2 linked regions of the Caenorhabditis elegans genome follow. The protein of the gene in region 1 interacts with the protein of each later gene in a biochemical or structural test. Each region holds a gene or a part of one and is shown on either strand. Other genes may lie near its edges.

Evidence for each region. The genes of interacting proteins can lie anywhere in the genome.
Region 2: of the proteins of npr-5 (region 1) and flp-34, one has a biochemical effect on the other in vitro, tested with the Caenorhabditis elegans proteins (one study listed by BioGRID).

Annotation. Positions count from the first base shown.
Region 1 is NC_003283.11:276,459-283,656, reverse strand, and holds npr-5 (G-protein coupled receptors family 1 profile domain-containing protein), read left to right. Parts: upstream 1-1,940; 5' UTR 1,941-1,952; coding exon 1,953-2,101; intron 2,102-2,885; coding exon 2,886-3,077; intron 3,078-3,261; coding exon 3,262-3,418; intron 3,419-4,079; coding exon 4,080-4,286; intron 4,287-4,382; coding exon 4,383-4,611; intron 4,612-5,324; coding exon 5,325-5,482; intron 5,483-5,616; coding exon 5,617-5,690; intron 5,691-6,287; coding exon 6,288-6,423; 3' UTR 6,424-6,671; downstream 6,672-7,198.
Region 2 is NC_003283.11:1,027,401-1,035,131, forward strand, and holds flp-34 (FMRF-Like Peptide), read right to left. Parts: upstream 6,005-7,731; 5' UTR 5,986-6,004; coding exon 5,930-5,985; intron 4,253-5,929; exon of another isoform or gene 4,185-4,252; coding exon of another isoform or gene 4,129-4,184; intron 2,423-4,128; coding exon 2,306-2,422; intron 1,836-2,305; coding exon 1,770-1,835; intron 1,169-1,769; coding exon 1,106-1,168; intron 762-1,105; coding exon 746-761; 3' UTR 494-745; downstream 1-493.

The DNA of each region.
Region 1 (7,198 bases):
AATTATATGGTTAATTCTCTAAACATTTTTTTTCGATGTTCCAATTTCCCTTTAAAAATTGAAACATCTTTTGAATACACATATGGTAAACACTACTAAAGTAACCTGGAATTTTTCCATAAATGATTAACGGGAAACGGTAACTTTCAGGCTCTATTCAAAGTTTTAAAAAGTTTTTTTTAAGCAAAAATCATTATTATTTTTTATTTCTTCATAATTTTTGGATTCAAAAAGTTGAAATTTACCACTGTAAAAATTTTCATATAATTTTTTAACCGCACAACACTGGTAGGTAGGCACATTTAAAACACGCGCCTGTCTACCTGAAACTTTTCTAAAAAATTCCCATCTCACTGCTTCTTCTTATATCGTTATTCTTGCTCCTCAAACTCAACACCCCCCCCCCATTGAGCTCACCCATAAAAACCTTCTAAACTACCTGCCTACCTTCAAATTCCCACACCAGGTGATAGTCTTCTCGTAGTGTTCTCAAATTTCACTAGACATACTGCCGGCTCACGCAGTTTTTAAGAATCCTCCTTCTCCATCTCCACTCGCCGTAAAAACGTCAAAGATTATCGCATCTCCGCCCTATCTCCGTCCAATTGCTCTAATCTTGTTGAACCTTATTTCTCTCTCTCCTTTCTTCTCCATCTTTTTTTGCTCTAAAAGCCAAAAGTGTGCTCTGATAATCTTATCATATCATTTGCAGAATTTTAGACTCCAATACTTTATAAAATTTTGTTGTTTCATTAGTAAATGTTCTAAAAATACCTCGAAAAAACCCCGTCACTTAAATGGAATTGGAATTTTTTTGGCATTCGAAAAAATGTTTTAAAACTAAACTATCATTTTTGAACTTTACTTTAAACTTACAAATTTGTTATTAAAACAAAGCCTATAATTGTGGTAGGCAGGGAAGGCGCCTCAGGCAAGCCCAATTGCCTGATGCTTACCTGAAAAGTTAGGCCCAAGAAAAATTGGTAGTCAAAAATTGGTAGTCATATAATAATGATGCGAGTTTCCTGTGACCCCCTTTTACATATTTCATTCATCAAATTGCCATTGAACCAAACATTAGTCACACTTTATCCACCTTATCACGCTGAATACCTCCAAATTTTGGGTGAATTGTTAGAAGCTAGCTTTATTCCTAGGAGCCATGTGACTTTTTTCAAGCTTAAATTTTAAATAATTGATGTTTTTTAATAGGTCAAAAATGGACTGGTGATCGGTCAAGGGAGAGCTTTTCTTTATTTAATCTCTTTGTTATCTTTGTCAAATTTTTTTTGTGTGACGTACATATAATAATTTATTTTTACACTTTTTGTTGGAAGCCCATAGGTCAAAAACCAAGGATTTACTGGGAAGACTGAGACATTTAGATAATTTTTTTGATTTTTTAAAGGTTTTTTGTTTAGTCCTAAAATTATGGAGATTATTCTTTGTTTTTTGAACTACCTGGCACATTTTAAAGCGGGTTTCGAGATTGATTTATTTAACTTCATTAACATAACAATTTATGTAAAATTTGATTTTTTTTTTGAAAATCTAAAAAAAAGAATCTAAAAATATAAAAATTTTACTTCCCGAACAATAGCTCAAAATTTTTACCATTTTTCTTTTTTTTAGAAGAAATTTCCTTTTTTTTTTCATCGACTGAAATTTGATAGAAAATTGGATTTTATGATTAATTTCCAGAACACGCTTTTCGATTTTCCCATTTTAGAAAAAAACATTTTTCGATTTTCGAATTTAAAAAATTTAAAAACTCTAAAATTTTCAACGATATTTTTATTTTATGGATTTTATGCATGTAATTTTCTTCAAAACGTTTTTATGTGATTTTGACTTTTTTGAATTTTTTTTTTCAAATCCTTTTATCGATTATATTACCCCTCTGAAAGATTCTCTCTTTAATATCAAATTTTCAATTCCAGAACCTTCGATGCATGGTTAGTTCGGCGGCCACCATTTCGACCATTTCAACCACAACGACTCCCTCCACCATCAGCAACGTTATCACAAGTCATTCGAACAATGGCTCGTGCATTCAGATCGCTGAGGCGATTGCGGCACAAGGCATCGATGATATTACTGTGTAAGTTTTGGGTATCCTGGATGGATTTTCTAACTTATAATTTCCAAAAAAACCTGTCAACTTTTCTCACCACAAAAATCACAATTTCCGTCATAGTTCAACGATCTCATCTTTTTCACCCAAAACCGCTCGAGAGACTTGTCCTCAAACATTTCAACTTTTGACATGTGGCTGACGAGTGACATGGAAAAGTGCTCTCTTTCTCATTTTCCTTGGAGAAAAATCAATTGGCAAATTTTTGTTATCATTATCAGTGTGAGAAAAGTTGTTGAGAACTAGGGTGGAGAGAGATAGATGATACAGTTGTTGTGACATCCGACAGCTGTGTGCTCTTGACATTTTTTTCAAATGTTCTTGAGCTGGAAGCATCCATGAAAATTAAATGGGGACATTAAACTGGCGATCGCAGGGAAACAAAAAGAGAAAGTTTGAATACCTTAGATAACTTAGCAGCCGACATTTCAAGGGTATGTCTAACGTCGTTGCTCTTCTAGATTTAGCAGCCGACATATTACTGTAATGAACGACGTCCCTCCTCTGTCACACTAAAGCTGTAAGAAAGTGACGTGGAACATGACCGAGAGATGTCTGCCGCACTGTGTGGTCACTTCCTTTGACAAGTAGCGGTAGACACCTCGCGGGCATGATTGGCGTAACTTTTTCTGCCACGTGTAGCACCCGACACCTTACGGTTTGTATGACGTCATTTTTTTGTCTCACGTGCCGGCCATACTCAAAGTCCTACCCTCTCCTCCCCTACACTCAAAAAATCAAATTTTTGCAGAGACTTTTACATCCGATCAATCTTCACATTCCTCTACGGGTTCCTGTTTGTATTAGGCATTTTTGGAAACGGCGGCGTACTATGGGCGGTGGCGAGAAACAAGCGGCTCCAATCGGCTCGCAACGTATTTCTGCTCAACTTGATCTTCACCGATTTGATATTGGTGTTCACAGCGATTCCAGTCACACCATGGTATGGATTTTTGTGAAAATTTTGAGGGAAATTGTTTAATTTTTATAACCTAAACTTTTACTGCAATGAAAATTGAGTAATTTTCAAAAAAAATTGTTAAAATTTTTGAGCAAGTTTTTTTAGGTGAATATCTCCTGTAGAATATGTTATGAATTTTTTCTTTCAAAAAATTCCCATTTTCCAGGTACGCGATGACCAAAGACTGGGCATTCGGGTCAGTGATGTGCCATTTAGTTCCTTTGTCAAATTCGTGTTCGGTGTTTGTGACGAGTTGGAGCCTCACTGCAATCTCCTTAGATAAATTTCTGCATATCAACGATCCCACCAAACAACCAGTTTCTGTAAGTTTTTTTCGAAATGTGCTAGATATTTCTGAAGCTTCATGAATATTCTGAAATGAGCTAGAAATTTCTGGATAGTTCTGGAATTTTATTGTAGTTTTTAAATTTTTTTTGGATATTATTGAATTTTTCTAAAATTCCTTGAATTTTCTGCAAGTTTTCAAATCTTTCTGGAAGACTCGAGAATTTTTTCTGAAGTGTTCTAGAAATTTCTGTACTACTTCAGACTTTTTTTTTGGAAAGGTTATACATTTTTTATTGTTTTAGAATTATCGGGAAGCTTTCAGAATTTTTTGAGTTTTCTGCAACGCTTTAAAAATTTCTGGACATTAAATTTTTTTTTGAGATTCCCATAATTTTCTAGAAATTCCTTGAGTTTTCTGGGATGTTTTATAATTTTCTACAAGGTTTTAGAATTTTCTGACAGGTTCTGTAATTTTTTTGAATGTTTTAGAAATTTCTTGAAGCTTCTTAAATTTTTTGGAAGGCTGTTAACATTTCAGGAATGTCCAAGAGGTTTTTGTTTAAATTTTCTAATCTTGAAGTTTTTGGATTTGTCCAAAAAATCTAGGAAATTCTGGATAGTTTTAAATTTTTCCGGTTAAAACTCATTTTTAAAATTAAAAAAAAAAACCATTTTCGAATTTCATTTTCTTTCCAGATTCGTCAAGCGTTGGCAATAACATTTCTTATCTGGATAGTCTCAACACTGATAAATCTACCGTATCTTATGTCTTTCGAGCACGTCGATGGAAGCTTTTACGTTCAGCCCGGAGAAACTCCATACTGCGGGCACTTTTGCGACGAGGCGAATTGGCAGAGCGAAAATAGTCGAAAGATTTACGGAACTACGGTTATGTTGTTACAGGTGAGCAAAAACACGCTGACCTAACAACCATAAAAATTTTGCAAACCTAAATTTTTAAAACTTTTGAAATTTTCCTACATACGTCCAAATTTGCAGTTCGTCGTGCCGATGGCAGTGATCACGTATTGCTACTTCAAAATCTTGCAAAAAGTGTCAAAAGACATGATCATCCAAAATGCTCAATTCTGTCAATCACTGACACAAAAGCAGAGAAGTGATGCGACGTCACGAAAGAAGAAAGTGAATTATATTCTAATTGCAATGGTTGTCACATTTATCGGGTGTTGGTTGCCTTTAACATTACTCAATTTGGTCAAAGATTTTAGTGAGTTTTTATTTGTTTTTTGGAAAAAAAAATCGTAGTCAACTGTTTTGAAAACGCTAACTATAATTGACAACATTTTCTGCTCAATTTTGTTTTTGACTGTCTTATATTAAAATTAACTTATTAAAGGTTGAATACGGCCCAAATGACTGAAAACTATTACTAAAATGACCAAAAATTATATATAAATTTTTAAAAAAAGTTTGAAAAGTTGTTTAGCTCAACTCGAAATGTCTCAAAAATTCCGAAATTTGTAAAAATTGGTAAAAATTTACACCTTCGCTGAAAATGAGCCATTTTTTCCAAAAATAATCGCCCAAACTTTTTTTTTGAGAAATTTTCAAAACGCCTCACTACAAAATTTGGTAATTTTGGGCCATTTTTGGTCTGAAAAACGAAATCTCTTCTCAGCACAGCACGTTCAATTAGTCGTAACATGGGCTCTTAAATTGAAAAAGGTCAAAATGTATAGTTTGTAAAAATGAGCAAAATGTGGTTAGTTTATAATTTGGTGAAAATTTATGCTGCTCAATCCAAGTCGGTGTAATGTTACGAAAAGGAAGCCTACATAAAAAGCTTCTGCCTGTGGTAGGTCTATGTAGAATTCCTGCTGTAATTCCTAGTGTGAGCGATTAAAATGTTCGAAAAAATATTTGCCGTAGTTTTCGAAACTTATGTTCAAAATCACTACACATTGAAACCAAAATTTTCAGAAAAAGAGCCCGAATGGCTAAAACGTCAGCCGTTCTTCTGGGCAATAAATGCTCACGTCATAGCCATGTCCTTAGTCGTCTGGAACCCTCTGCTATTCTTTTGGCTGACACGAAAACAAAAACGTTCCGGACTGTCAAAAATACTCAACTCAACAGAGGTGAGTATTGTAAACTTCTTCAAGTCCCCTTGTATAAAGTTTGCTCCTAGCCGTGTGCTCCTGGTGTTCTTCCCGTTTTCCACTGCTTCCTTTGTGTCCCCCCTCTCTTCCTCTGAGCCGCCTTTTGTTTTCAGATTGTGTCCTCGTTTGCCAGTAGAGTGAGTAACTCGATTCGGCGGTCAACGTTTCGGAGAAACAATATTGACAGGTACAGGTTCTCTTCTAACTTTTAAAAAACTCTCTAATCCTCTAACTGCTTGACTTTTCTCGAAAAAATTCTGTTTCCTGGTCTTTTGTACGTTGTTCAAGCTTGATATGGGGTACACATCTCCTCTTTGCGATGGGGCGCGTCTGCCGCGCAGTGCCGTCATGGGTCGTGTACTACTCGTGGACTTTGGAAATTTTTTGGAAATTTTTTCGGGTTTAATTCTAGTTGGCAGAGGCTGGACCAATCGCCGTTAAATTTGCAAGTTTTGAGTTTTTGAATTTATTAAATGCTCTAAATAACAGAGAAAAGCGAGCCATACAAATTTATAGCTAACAAACAGAAAAAATGTTGATTTTCCCGTTTAAATGCGCTTTTTTCAATCCGATAATGCAAGTGCGCTCTACCGAACAAATTAGTGCGCCATGATATCAGTTAGTTGAGCGTAATTTCGAGACTCGATTTGCATGAACCACATAGTCTACTTCCGCCGCAACCGACATTTTCTGGGTTTTGCTAATCCTACAGCAAACCCGGGGGGGGGGGGGTGTCCGCCGCTTCACTAAATACCTTCATATCTTTGAAAATTGTATTTTGCAGGGTTCGAAAAAAGCAGGTGGTTCTGGATTGCGAGGGATCCAGCTACACGACCTCCTCCCGACCTCTACTCATTCGGACAGATGTGCAGGCAACTCTTTCTAATGGCTCGACGAGTACTACCCGCGAGATGCTGTAAATTCTATACGTTACTCCCCTGTGTTCATCTTGCCCGTCTCTCGAAAAATTCCATTATCTTTATTTTCTGTTCATTTTTTGCATAACGAAACGTGCGATTAATCCGGGTCCAGTTCGCTCCGCTTTTTCTCCTCCTAAGACAGCAACCCCACAAAAATCTAATTGCCTTTTTTGTATTTTCTTTGTTTTCTTTTCTTGTTTTTTTTTGTGTCAAAATAGCGTCACCTAATAAAGATGCACGCAAAGAAAAATGGGATTATACAACAGGGAAACGTCTTGAAAATGCACACCGAGCAAGAGGCAAATATTTCTGTGTCTACGAAAATGTAGGGGTGATAAGAGTCCTGAATCACAATTTTAGCAGCACTCGACACTAACCGAGTTCCGGTATTCATCAGATCACCAAACAGCTAAATAGAGGAACCCGGCAGATGTAACAAAAACAAAAATAAGTTTTTTGCATTACTAAACAAATTCAAAAAAATATAAATACAAAAACAACAATTTAAACGCAGAGTATCATTTTCCGGGAATTTCCTTTGAGAGATCAAATATCATGAAAACAATTATCTACTAATTTACTAAAAATTTTAAATTTCTTTCATTTTTATCCGAGAAATTTATCTTCACGAAAAATACTTATTTTAAAAAAACGTACTGTATTGCTCCTACCGTACCATTATTGGCTGTAAAAACGCAACTTTAAATCCAAACAAAATATGTGAATTTCAATTCTTTCAGAAAAAAATATAACAGATTTTTTAAAAATTATTTTT
Region 2 (7,731 bases), 750 kb from region 1:
TGGACTCATTCGAAATTGTATTCATTTAATCTGACATCTGGCAAAAGTTTATTCTGAGGAAATTAAAATAAACATTTGAGATTGAGAATTCTGAATTCACTCGAAGCCTATGGCCTACGCCTATGACTTACGCCTATGGCAAACGCCTATGGCCTCCGCCTATGGCCTACGCCTACGGTCTACGCCTATGGCCTACGCCTATTACCTACGCCTATTACCTAAGCCTATGGCCTACGCCTATAGCAACCGTCTTTGACCAATGCCTATGGCCTACGCCTATGGCCTACGCCTATGGCCTACGCCTATGGCCTACGCCTATGGCCTACGCCTATGGCCTACGCCTATGACAAAAAAAAAGATCAAACTTCAATGTCCACAAATATCATATTCAAATCAAAAATTCAAACCAAAAAAAATTTTGGCGCACTAATATCCCGATTGTTTATTCGACCATTCTGTTCCCGCTCTTTTTAGATCAAATAAATTTCAAAACAACAGACTCACAAACTTTATTTGATTTTTTTTTGAGAAAGAAATAAAAAATAAAAACGAGTTGGGGGGACTGATTTGATACAAGACAGGAAGATGGTGAATGATGAAAAATTTGAATAAGCGAATTTTTGAATGAGGAAAATTTTTTAGAGAATAAATAAATTAATTAAATATCTGAAATAAAAACAAAACCTCGAGAGAGAAAATTTAGAAAAAAAAACGAGACGGCTACGGACGGGCTGACGTGATGGAATTATTTACGGCCAAATCTGAAAATAAAATGGATTATATTTTGTTTTAGGCCATAGACGTAGGTCATAGGCGTAGACCATAGGCGTAGGCCATATACGTAGGCCATATACGTAGGCCATAGGCGTAGGCCATAGGCGTAGGCCATAGGCGTAGGCCACAGGCGTAGGCCACAGGCGTAGGCCATATACGTAGGCCATATACGTAGGCCATAGGCGTAGGCCATAGGCGTAGGCCATAGGCGTAGGCCACAGGCGTAGGCCATAGGCGTAGGCCATAGGCGTAGGCCATAGGCGTAGGCCATAGGCGTAGGCCATAGGCGTAGGCCATAGGCGTAATCTCGAAAAATAAAATTAAAAATTACCGTAATCGTTCCGCATTATTGAGAGAAGCCACCAGGGAGTCTCTGTTCAGCGCACGTTTGATTCTGAAATAATTTTTAGTTTCAGGAGGATTTCCTCAAAAAATTTGAAAAATTTTCATCCCAATGACCCGACCAAACGCCACGACTTTCTGATTCCGAGAAAAATGTCCTTTTTTTTTCAAACTCTCTGCCAAATTTCTAATTATCTATTCAACCATTTGTCATTCGAATTGTACATTTTAAAATTGTATTTTGTTGAGAGGGTTTAAATCTTGAAAATTCGGAAACATCTTTTTATAGCTTTGAAGCTTAAGCGCCCCCACGTCATAAAACTCCTCCGCTAATCCACTTTCAATTAGTTCCAAATTTTGATCTACGTTCCAAAATGCAGGAACAAACAGGTGAAATTTTGATTAATCACTAATTTATTCTATATTTACTACTTCAAAATTTCACCTGCCTCCTAAATTTTGTTCTTCAATTTTCAGGCCTAGGCTAGGCTATAGGCCTAGGCCGGGCTATAGGCCTAGGCCAGGCTATAGGTCTAGGCTAGGCCATAGGTCTCGGCTAAGCTGTAGGTAACTGTAGGCCTAGAATATAGGTCTAGGCTATAGACCTAGGCTATAAGCCTGCCTAGGTTCTTTTACCCCAGTGAGAAACTCACAATGCGTACGGATAACGTCCTTCCGAGTAGAGGTACTGATCTTCCGATGATGGAATGATGACATTACTGAAAATCACAAATTTCTCATAGGCTACATTACTTTTATAATTGCAAAGTTCTTATTTCAAATGACGTGATGATTTCGAAGAAAAGTGGTGGGTTGTTGCTGGAGCAAACAAGTTTGTAAAGAGCATCTCCTTTTGCTAGACACAAATTTGAGATTTCCGGTCAAAACACACACTTTTATTGGATTTCGAAAGGTTGGAGTGCGTTGAAATTATTGAAAAATGTCACTCGGAAATTGAAAATGTTAAAAAAAACTTAAATTTTCAAGAAAAATGAACTGAAAAGATAGAAAAAGTGCACACTACGTACCGATCGCTGGGCTCCAAATTGTGGAAAAAGTTTAGAAATCGCATAGGTTTGAACCAGCGTCTAGAATTTTTTCCATGACCAACTAGTTTTCAAATTTCTGCGCGTCAAATCTGGTGTTCCTCGATGCACCATATCTTACGCGCAAATTTCCCAGTACTCACTTTTCTTCCCACATTGCGGGGTCCGATCGTTTGCCGTATCGAAGCCGTCCAGCATTATTGATAGCTGATGCAAATGTGGAAATGTCTGCTTTTTTCTCCAGTGGCAGGGATAGTACGCTGCAAAACTTTTTTATGTCGTGACACAGCTGAAACTATTGCTACAGTAATCCTTTTTACTTGAATATCATAACATAGTCTAAGTATACACGTGGTGTTAGAGTGTCCCATTTCGGCTTGATCTACGTAGATCTACAAAAAATGCGGGAGAAGAGACGCAGAGTTCTCAACTGATTTTGTATAGTTAAGGACGTGCTGACGTCACATTTTTCTGGGCAGAAAATTCCCGCATTTTTTGTAGATCAAACCGTAATGGGACAGCTTGACGCCACGTGAGTATACCGAATATAACTGTTTTAAAAAATTATATAATTTTTCCAAATTTTCGAGGATTTTTTATATACATTCTTAAAAAAGTTTACAGGGACTACGATTTTTTTTAATTCCAGCGCAAATGAACGGAAATTTGAAATTTTCAAATTTAAATTTAAACTACGCCCAGAAATGTATTAAAGGCGCATGCCCAAGTTTTGGTGGGTCTCGTCGCGATTTGTGAAATTTCAGTTTTTGATGCATCATGTTCGAAATTCAAAATGTATGAAATTTCTAAATAGGAAACAGGTTAAAACTTTAAAAAATTTTTAAAAAAATTTCAATTTTTAGAATTTTTGGTTCAACTATTAACAGTATTACTACATATCTGAATTTATCAAAAATTTGTTGATCCAAATCTAGATGGGGGATTAAGCCTAGTTTTTGATTGTTTTGAGATGCTTCCTTGTTGACTTTTTCACAATTTATTACTCATGAGCATTGACTAATACTCCAAATTAATCCCCTTTTGTTTCAGAATTACTTTTTTTTTGTGGATTTTCAAAAAAGATCATGAAAAAAATCCTACTTATCTCAATTTTGCCACGTCATTGAGAAAAGTTGAACTGCAATTTTTGGTCGAAAACATTTTTTTCAAACAGAAATTCACCTGCCATGATGTTTTGCGCAGACAAGCTAAATTTAGATTTCGAAAAGATTTAAATTTGAGTAAGTAACTGAGTAGTAAGTTCAAAAATTAGAAAACATCAAGTTTTTATAATTTTTAGATTTTTTAAAATTGTTCTGATTTTTTTCCAAAGTTATCCCAATTAATTTTGTGATTCTAAAAATTGTCTTAAACTGAAATGAACATAAGCTTATCCAAAAAATTAAAAAAAAAGCTCAGAAATTCAAACTTCGACCCAAAAAATTTTAACCAAATTTTGGATTTTTTTTTCTTTTTTCCAAAAATTCAAAAAAAAAACCTTATAACTTACAAATTAACACATATATTTAATGAGACTATAGTAATTTTTTTTTTGAAAAATATTGAGTTTTTTCTAATTATCCTAGATGATACTGCACCCTTAAAATAGTTTTTGAACAAAAATCATTAAAAAAATTTTTGCAAAATATTTTTGGCCCAACCAATGTATTAAGTTATAGATTTTGGTTCAGTTAAAGGTACTACAGTAATACTACAGTAATACTACAGTAATACACTATAGTAATGTTAAAATAATGTAGGATCACAGTAAACAGAAATATGGTCTCTTACCAAATTTTAAAACAAAATTTTCGTATTTAAAAAAATTCAAAAAATTCATAACCAACAACTTTCAAATTAAAAAAAATCATATAATAAAACTACCGTACTTTCAACAAAAAAAATCTACAGTACCATTCCCTACAGTACCCCTACAGTACCCCCACAGTACCCCCACAGTACCAACCTGTCAGTTAAAACCAAAGCAACAAAAATCAGAGCCATCAAAAATTGGAACTGCATGTTTTAGAAAATATGTTTAGTAGTGGAAAATGTGTGTGAGTGTATGTATCGGGTGTCGAAAACAGAATGAGCTTTCTCCCCCCTCTTGCTCGCCGAGCCAAAAGTGGGCGGCGCCTAATGGTGGGTGCTCCCAGGAAATGATGCCTGCCTTTCATCACATTCTTCTTTAATTTTTTCTTGTTGCCACGTCATCACACACAGCTACGGTATTTTTATATACTATACGATGAATCCATGACAATAATACGATTGTTTTACGACTTTTTGGGTGGTAAATTAGGTTTTAGGCTTAAAGCAGGAAGAAGCTAAACGGAAATGTGGTGCCAATTAAATGGAATGGTTTTAAACCGAAATTGGGTAACCGGATAGAATTTGTTAGCGGTTTTCGAGGAGGGAAATATGGAAAAACAGAAAAATATACACAGATATATACATGTATATATTTCAATTTTGAAAGCATCACCGCGTCACTTTTATTTGCGAAAAAACAAATTATTTTCCCTCTCTGCCAAAATTACAATTTCATAATTGGGTTCCTACGAGGGAGTGGGCTCAGGAATTTCTGAAATAGCTGAAATATTATAGTTTTGAAATTTCTAAAAATTTTAGCAATTCCGGCAATTTTTTTCGAAAATTTATACAGAAATATAGAAAAACATTTGTACTTTCTGATAATGGTATTACTTTTTTCTTTAAAAATTCAAAAAGCTGCTCAAAACCCACCTAAAAGTCAAAATGTGCCGATAGAGTCAGTGACCCTAGGTGCATTACGGCCGGCTTTGAGGCAGTTTTTCGGCAATTTCTCAAACATTTTAAATAAAGATAAAATTGTTTTCAGAAAGAACAGATATTTCTCTACATTTCTATATAATTTTCCAAAAAAATATTTTCAAAAAATTTTTTTGGATAAAAATGAGTTTTGTAAATGAGCCCCATCCCTCTGTTTGGAAATAAAAATAAAAATAAAAAGTAAATTTCCTCAATTTCAAATTTTCCAAAAATTGTTGATGCTATGCAATTTCCGACAGCAGGCACCTAATTGCCTGCCTGCCTTCAAAGCAAACCCCATGAAGAAACTTAATGGAAATGAAAATAGACAGAAATTAGCAAATATGCATTTTTATTGGAGGCGGCGGTAGGCAATAGGTAGGCACATAGGCAGGCAGGTCTCCTTCTAACGCGTCCACGAGAAAGATAAAACCCGTCCACATTTAAATTTCGAACAAGGTAATTTTTATCGACTTTTATATTTTTCTACGTCACATATAGTAATCTATATCGGTTTTACCTATAAAAATTGCGGGAAATTCATCGGTATGACGTCACTTGAATTTTACTGCGAGACCTTCCAAAAATACTATGTTTGCGAGTTTCGAAAGCCTAATTGCTTCCTCATATTTTTGAATACATTTTTTTCAAATGTAGTTTCATAATAAAAAAAGTGATTCTGCATAAATAAAATGTTGATCTAGTTATCAAAAAACCCTTCACCTGGTACAAATGAAATTTGATTCGTTTTTGCTTTTCAAAAACCAATTTTTGATCTAGTTTCATAGATTTTGACAACTTTTGTTTGCTAAAGAGCTCAGATTATTTGAAGAATTTTAGGAATATTGTACCAAAAAAAAGTTCAAGTACCTACCTGCTTGCCAAGGTTAAATTTTCTAGTTGTAAGCCTTTAGAATCTTCTTTAGAGCTTTGAAATGAACCATGTAATTGTCTTAAAAAATAATTAAAAAAATTACCTGACAGAAAGAAGAACTGTGAAGAAAATGAGCAATTCTGTGATCAAGCTGTGCATTTTTATTCTGCAACGGGGGTACCTGAAAGTAAAATTTTTAGAGATTGAGCTGAATTTCAAAGGAATTCAGCAAAAATTTCCGAGAAAATGAGAGTTTGAGGTGAAATGCGGCTGCTACGTGGCCTAGGAAATTGGAAACTCGGCCATGAGTATTTTTTTTAATTTAAAAACCTCGAGATTAGCATACAGTATTCATACTAGAGGCCGCAAAAAACAAAAAATATCAAAAATAAATTCCTGGCCGAATTTTCTAATTTTCGCGGCCACGTCTGGACCAGAGTCAGAAACTGCAAGATTCCTGTAAAAATTCGAATAATACACGTAAAATTGTGAAAACTCAGGAAATCCTTCAACAAGTCCGTCGTATTTCGGAATGAAAAATTCATTAGCACCGCATATTATTTGAGACACAAAGCGCAAAAAAAGGAAATTTCCGAATTCGAATACAAATTAATATTTAATTTTTTTATTCTTGTTGTTAGAGGGCATGATGTCAATGTATATGAGGAAATCTGTATAGAGAGAAAATAATTTAAAGGGCATGAGAACTTGATGCAAATCAAGCACGTGGTCTGCAAATTTCAAAATTTTCGGCAAAGTGCCGGTTTGCCGAATTTGCCGGAAATTTTCAATTCCAAAATTTTGCCGATTAGCCGACAATTTTCATTTCTGGCAAATTATCGGTTTGCCGAATTTGCCGGAAATTCTATATTCCGGCAATTTGCCGATTAACCGGAAATGTTAATTTTTGGCAAATCGCCGGTTTGTCGAATTTGTCGGAAATTTTCAACTCCGACCATTTTCCGGATTTCCGGCAATTTTTGTTTTTGGCAAATTGCCGGTTTGCCGAATTTGCCGGAAACTCGAAAAACGGCAAATTGCCGACTTTGCCGGTAAAAATATTTACCGCGCACCTCTGGTCTTAATACACTCATACATTCAGATTTTCAAATTTTCAAATGTTTGAGAATATTTCAGGTTTTTCAAAAATTTTATATAGACAAAGTTATTGGCAAAAAATCTAATTTTCCAAAAAAAAAGAGGGTTGACCTCCAAAATTGGCGAAAGGGGAAATTTAGTTTTCCCTTTTTTGACTTCAATTAAAAAAACTCAAAAAAAAATTCTACCGTAATTTCGGCTGAGTGTGACGTCAATTTTCTAAAATATTTCTTTACTACAGTTGACCATGGGAAAATGGAAATTTTGGAACTTTCGAGAAATAAAAATTGCCACGAAATTTCCTCGTACATATTTCATAATTAGCAGTGAGAATAAATGACGTTAGAGAACTAAAAATAATTTTGAGATCCCAAATATAGATTGTTGTGAGAACTACATTTGGGTAAACATATCGTTTTTAGGTAGAGTTTTTGTAAATTTTCAGAGATCCCATGAAAATTTGAAGACACAAGGCAAATTGACTGAAGTTTTGCACCGTTTATTTAGTTCACCATAAGGCCAAAACATTTTCTAATCAATTCCAAGTAACCAAAAAGGTTAATTAAAAAATTTCTAATCAATCAGAATCGTCTAAGCGTCATTCACCTGATTGATGAATTTGTTTTGGTATTGACAAATTAGAAAAAAGGTTAAGAACCAAAACTATCTAACAACAAAAAATTTCGTAAACTGGAAAACTGGGACTCGTTTTGGTTTAGAAATAGTTTAACAACTTTAGAAATTTCTAGGCCCTACAAGGTCCTGTGCAAATATAGTTGTTGTTTTTGGCATGCCTACGAAAGTACC